Kluyveromyces lactis: one gene and its partner. The protein of the gene in region 1 purifies or fractionates together with the protein of each later gene. This does not show direct contact. Links are inferred from orthologs where the notes say so. Each region holds a gene or a part of one and is shown in the gene's direction. Other genes may lie near its edges.

Evidence for each region.
Region 2: the proteins of MCM10 (region 1) and PSF2 purify together in Saccharomyces cerevisiae (affinity purification with western blotting; 3 studies listed by BioGRID, with this or other methods). This does not show direct contact. The link is inferred for Kluyveromyces lactis from reciprocal best matches to the Saccharomyces cerevisiae genes MCM10 and PSF2.

What each region holds. Positions count from the first base shown.
Region 1 is NC_006037.1:50,725-54,668, reverse strand, and holds MCM10 (Mcm10p), read left to right. Parts: upstream 1-1,587; coding exon 1,588-1,675; intron 1,676-1,758; coding exon 1,759-3,404; downstream 3,405-3,944. Other genes in the region: MLP2 (Mlp2p), read left to right, coding at 1-1,365; KLLA0_A00550g (uncharacterized protein), read right to left, coding at 3,428-3,944. UniProt on the Saccharomyces cerevisiae protein: Required for DNA synthesis. Required for entry into or completion of S phase. Involved in DNA replication and seems to participate in the activation of the pre-replication complex (pre-RC) and in transcription elongation.
Region 2 is NC_006040.1:558,066-560,881, reverse strand, and holds PSF2 (DNA replication protein PSF2), read left to right. Parts: upstream 1-1,678; coding exon 1,679-2,284; downstream 2,285-2,816. Other genes in the region: ARG2 (acetyl-CoA:L-glutamate N-acetyltransferase), read right to left, coding at 1-1,356. UniProt on the Saccharomyces cerevisiae protein: Functions as part of the GINS complex which plays an essential role in the initiation of DNA replication by binding to DNA replication origins and facilitating the assembly of the DNA replication machinery.

The sequences.
Region 1 (3,944 bases):
CATGGTAAACTAAAGGAGGAAATTAACGATGTTAAAAATGAACTGCAAACTACCAAGGATACTTTGCAAAGCGTCATTGCCGAGAAAGATGACTGGGAATCGAAGTTCCAAAGAATTAGGCTTCAAGCACGTGATAGATTGAATGCCTCCAAGGAAAAGGAACAATCTTTATCATCAGAAATAAACCAAATCAATGAAGCTAAATCTCAAGTGGAGGCCGATTTAGGAAAATGTAAGACCGCTTGCAAAGAGTTAGAAGAAAGATTACAAGTGGTAACGCAAGAAGCAGAAACAAAGGAACAGACTTTTAACTCTCAATTATCTAAATTGCAGGAAGATCTACATTCTATTCAGGTTCAAATGGAAAATGCTTCCAAGACCGAACAGAATAATGCAGATTCAGATGAAAAAATAAAATCGTTGACTGAGACTGTGGAAATGTTAAATAGTAAAATACAGGAGCTTGAAGCCGAAGCCTCCAACGCTCAAAAAATAGTAGCTGAACATCATACGCCAGTTATCAACGAAGACACGAAGTCAATAGTGGATAATTTGAAAACAGAATTTGAAGCTGAAAAAGAACAATTAATAAAAGATAAAGAAAAAGAATTGAGGAGCAAGTTTGAGGCAGAAAAAGAATCTGCTTGGAATTCCAGAGAGGAAGAGCTCCGGAAACAGTTTGAAGAAAGAGAAAAGAGAATTCGTGAAGAGTGCGAAAAGACTACTGTCCAGTCTCCTTCGCAGCCTACCTTGGATATAGACATCGATGCTTTGAAGAATGAATGGGAAAAAGAATATGAGAAGCAGACTCTGGAAAAAATTAAATTAGCAGAAGAAGCCCTCAAGAAACGGATCAGGTTACCTACTCAACAAAAGATTGATAAAATAGTTGAGGCAAGAAAAGCTGTTTTAGAAGAGTCCTTTGAAGAAAAGGTAAACGAAAAGGCCCAAAAATTGGCAGGAGAGATCGGAAATGATGCCATTACTCTAGAAAAGCATCGTGCAGAATTGAATGCACTTAAGGATTCCATGCGTAAGCAATTTGAAGCAGATTTGGCAGAAATAAAACAAAAATCTTTCGAAGAAGGGAAACAGCAAGTTTCCTTGAAATTGAAATTTTTGGAAAGCAAGATCAGGAATTTAGAACAACAAAAGTCCACAATTAAACCTGTAGAGAATGACACTTCTAATATGAGTGCAGCATTCCAGGCCCCTGTATTTGGCTCTCATTCAACATTCACTAGTCCCTTCTCAACGTCAGAAATTTCTCCTAATAAGAGACCCATAGACGACACCGCAACAGAACAGCCTGAGAAACGTCACAAAGAGCCTGAAAGTGATACTGAGGATGGTCAGGAAGCCTGATTCTCCAGACGATTTTATGGCTGTTAATATTACCGAAGTTCTATTTAATTTTTTTCTATTATGTATCATTATTTGACCATTCGTTTTCAACATGTAAAAAATACTAGTATTACTTTCCACAGATATTCAAACGAGAAAACAAAATAATGACATCCCACAAGTAAAGAATGAACGAGAATAGTTACAGAAGCTATCGAGTATAGGTAACAGTGAAGATGCATCATGTCATATGATCTAACTGACCCGAGAGAAATTACGGCGTTCGACCCGTACGAGGAATTATCTGATGATGAATCTGAAATCGAAAGAGGTATGTTCTAATAATAATGGTTACCGAGATCAATGACATTAGAATATCCTACTAACATATTATAACCAATCATTAAATCAAAGTGAAACGAAGAATTGTTGAAATTGACACTGAGAAACGAGATTTAACTAACCGGCTGTTGGAACTAGAGAAGAAGAGAAACCTCAAAGACCCTAATTTCGATTCTATCGACGTTCCAGAGTCTCCTAAGAAATCAGATAATGCTACAAAAGGAATAGAGGATATCAAACATATTGCGCCAGTAGCAGATATAGAGGAAGCTACATTTAATGTTAATGAGGATTATGTAAGGGAAAAGGTCAAAAAGTTGGGTACCACTTCTTACTTTACTGAAAAACTTCGCTCCATCAATACAAATGAACATGAAGCGATTAAAAGGAAGAAAGAATTATTGGCACATCGAGTTTACACATTCAATGGCGACATGTTCGATGAATATGAACCAATTACTGTTGATGAAAAAGATGATTTGAGTGGTCTGGTTATAGACAGAAGGTATGTACCGTTGGCCGTACTTAGGAAACATACTAAAAACATAAAAGTGCTTCGACTTCCAAAGCTCTTCAGTAAGGTGAGAGCCCCTAAGTTCTCTGAACCTGATTATCCCAATTGGTTGGTATTGGGTATCATCTCAAAGAAAACTGAACCAAGAATGACAAATTCTGTGAAACCGGTGAAATTCTTCAGCCTAACCATAAGTGATTTCCAATTTGAACTGAATGTTATTTTCTTTGGGAAAAGTATAGTTGAAAAGTATTACAAACTAAGATTAGGTGATTTGATTGCTATACTTAACCCTGAAATAATGCCTTCCAAGAAACTGGAAGCGGGAGCAAGCCCTAGTTACGCTACATTTTCGTTAAAAGTTAGTAAAGACACCAATAATATACTGGAACTAGGTCACAGTAAGGAATTCGGATTGTGCCAATTTTACATGAAGAACAAAGGCAAGCTATGTGGTGCGCCAATAAACAAATTGCATGATAACTACTGTGCATATCATAAAGAGGCAAAAATGAGGCAAAACAGTTCTAGAAGAGTTGAAATTAGTAGCTCTGTGGCAATGAGAGCGCCAGTTGTCAAAGGATATCAACAGACTATTGTAAAATCACAACACAATAATGGTAAAACATCCATAAGATATCAACAAAATCCTGATAAACCGTTTGTACGAGAACCGGCAGCTGCAGAGACCAACAGATTCCTCTTCAGTTCTGCAAATGCCTCTACCGCGTTTTTCGATGACGACTACGAAAATCCTGACATACTGGCCAACCTTGATAACAAAAGACGCAAAATTCAAGAACTCAGAAACAATCGAAACTTGGAGAAAAAGTTAAAGGGTCTATCCGACAAATTGTTGTCAAAGAAGGAAGACCGAGTCAATCAAGAAGCAAAAAAGACTGCGACGTTGAGCATGTTCCAACATGGTTTAGCGAACCAAATTGGTTATGACCCAACAAAAGGGAAAGCGTCTTTAGAGATGCTTGAATATTCTACAGAGAATAAGGCGCCAAAGAATGATAAACAGCTGGCGATAACGGATATTTGCAATATAAAGAAAGATAATGTTAGCCTGAAACCTTCGAAGAAACAATTGAAAGAGAAAATTGAAAAGAGAAACGCTATCTTCAATGAAATAATGAAAGGCAGCCAAGAGCGGCTCGATAAAGATGAAGGCTCAAGTGATGATTTGGAAATTATATAGACAATAATGTAAGGTTTAATATATTATAAAGAATGTAGTACTTTTAATGATGGCTCCGTACAAGTCTCAATTCTTATCGTGGATGGTGGAGTATTCTTTCCCTCTAACTCTAGTAAGTTAAGAAGTTGCCCATCACAGCAAACTTCAAAGTTGCTCTTTTGTGACGGATCGTCTAGTACTTCGACGTTAAAACAAAATGGCAGTGGTCTGTAAAACGTTCCATTCTGTAAGATGTTTGAATGCTTCGTATTTGAATAACCCATAAATACCCTTTTCTGGAATTCTACTCTATCCAGAGAAGACTGGTATGCCAATACATGTAGTTGTGATTCCAATGGATCAGAATCGGGAGATGGCATATAAGTTGGCTCCAGATTTGTGGTATTTATTAACGCAAAATAACTAAAAGATCCTTCCAGAATATCGGGAATAGAGACGCGAGATTCGAGCTTGTATTCTCTTAAAATTCGCTGGCTAGCAACTCTAAACCTTTCAATGCCCATTTTCTGGTACTCATCTTCTTCGCAGAGATGAAGTAAA
Region 2 (2,816 bases), on another chromosome or scaffold:
CGCAAATTTGTCCAAATATACGAATTGCTTGTCCTTTGGCCCTTCGTATGTCAAAATTGCAATACCTTCATAATCTCCTATTACGATTATGCTCGCTATGTTACCATTGATCCTGCCGAGATAATGTGATAGGTCCAATGACCTTTTAAAACTTGAATTGATTATCCCATTCAGTTTATTCAAATCGAGTTTTTTCGATACTGGGTCAGATTTGCCAGTTTGAGTAGCTTGCGATGGTGGTAGACCTATGGAATTATCATCGGTCAAAGTCCTGAAGTCAAATATATGGATATCAATCCCCTTCTTGAAAACTGTAGTCACAAGAACTGAATCGTTTGCGGAAGTGACTTCCTCTTCCACGTTGGAAGATGGAAGCTCATACCAGCTTTTCGATTGAGCCGCAGCCGATCTTTTGAATCGAGGTAAAGATGACGATATCAATGAACGATCAGTCAAGATATTATATACCAATGGGTTATTATCTGATAATTTGGACCCTGCTAAAATAGTGGTAATTAGCCCAGTAGACGAATGTGGTAGAACTGATAGCGTTTTATTCATGATTTCAAGGTCTTCCATATGACATTTCAGTTGATCGCTGTTACTAAGAATCTTATCCTGATTCAAAAATAATTGTAGAGATTCTACCAAATTCTTCTCAGTATTATCCACTTGAATAGATTCTAGTTTCTCCAATTGATTTTGATAACTGTTTCTCAATTCTCGATATTCTTGTGACAAATTTACAAAGACATGGCTGTTTGTATGTCTTTCCACAGACGGCAATCCACCATACTTGCTGATAAGGAACACCTTGTCGATATTTATGGGCAAGTTACTCACTAGAGATGATAAGAATCGAGATGGATCGCCAGCCAATTTCTTAAAAGCTTCCTTCTCATGGTACTGATATGGCTCAATAATCGGAATAATATGCGGGTTCAAAATCGGAAGTTTTACGTCAATTGAGCCACGTTCACCGATGGTAATGGGATCTAATACGATTATTGACTTCAGACTCTGATCATGCAAATGATTGTCCAAACGCTGACTTTGGTATGATATGTCTTGGCATAGCGGGTCTACTATTAAAATTGGTCTTAGTCCGAGTGTTTGAATTCTTGACACAGTCTTGCTAAACCCACTAAGTACGTTATCTGAATATTCGGACAAATGTCTCAAAAATACAAGACAGTAGTGATGATTATTCTCATCGGTATATTTGTTCAAATAGTCTTTCGCTTCCCTTTTAGTCACTGTAGAATTCAAAACGCTCATAACCAAACTCCTGCCATGAGCATTAGGTTGATGGTATCTGACCTCTGTGGTCAAACACCTAATCCATGTTTTGATCATAGCACTAGCCCACAAAATGTGCCTTTGGACGTTATATGATGAGATCAAACCATTTATCTGCAAATATGGAAAGTGTATAAAACCATCATTTATTCTAGTTTTATCAATGAGTCAAGTCATCAGAGAAAACTGCCAGTTTAAAGCTTTAGTTAGTCTTTCCTGTTTTTGTTTTTCCTGTGCTGGATTTCAATGTCAAGATTGAACATGGAAAAATAATTGAAGCACAGATATCGATTGGTCATAGTCGCGCATTGAAAGCACTATGTAAGGAAGTAGTGAGCTTGAGGACACTATAGATTAGCAACTCCAACCTGAAATAGAGATGGCACTACCGAGAGATCTATCAATAGGATTTTCTCCCCAAGAGATACAGTTTTTAATTGAAAATGAACCGACACGAATTATGCCCAGAATCACTACGAGGAAGACCAAAAAACAGCTCGCGAAGGATCCTGGCGCCCAATGGTCACTGATCACATGCGATGATTCTACGGTAAATAACATGGTTGCAATGAATAGTTGCGAAGTCACGTTATGGCTGGCTTTACTGTTAAAACAACAGGGAAAGTGTAACGTCGTGGTACCCAGTTGGCTGACGTTACAACAGCTGGAGAAGTATTTAGATTTTGAATTGAAAAACCCATCACGATTCTCCAATCTACCCTGGAATTGGCTAGTGGTATCGTCACTGCTGTTTGCCAGATGCAGCGATGATTTTCAGGATCCAGTTCATCTACTGAGATCTAAGGTCCAAGATCTGCGAGAAGTTCGTTTGGGAAAAGTCAACAAGGGTTTGCAGTACCTGAACGAATCGCATTTACAGCTAGAGAACTTGTCCTTGATGGAAATCAATGAGATGAGACCCTATGCGTGTGGTATCATGGACAAACTGAGGACAATTCATGACTCCAGTAATGACACCACGTGATCAATAATATAATAACCTTTTCCCATTGAATCCAAAATTCCATTCACGAGGTTTCCACCAGTCCCTCCCCTTAATCCAACCTACATGGTTATATGATAACACAGTTGACCATAATCACTAGAAAAGGTCGGGTTACCATGTAAGTACAGGCCTATCAAATAACACATATATTACATACCCTACATGTACCCGCTTCACAGTTTGTAGTAATTCGAAACAACTGATCCATCCCGAACATTCACGCACTGCTTAGTTCTTATTTACGTTTGTGTCGCAAACATGCCTCGCGGGCATGCCTTGCGTGTGCACCCCACGTTCTTGCTTCATCATATTTGTTGTTCTTCAGGCTATTTCGGTTCCTTGCATTGAACTACGGGTATAACTTACAGAAAACGACACAAGGGGGGAACACAAACACGGAAACGAATCACGTTTCTTCAATATTACGTTGGGAAAAGAATTTACCGTAGATAGAAAACAATAACAGTAGAAATTGAGCAGGATGAACTCATAGAGAGCAGCATGGTTGCGT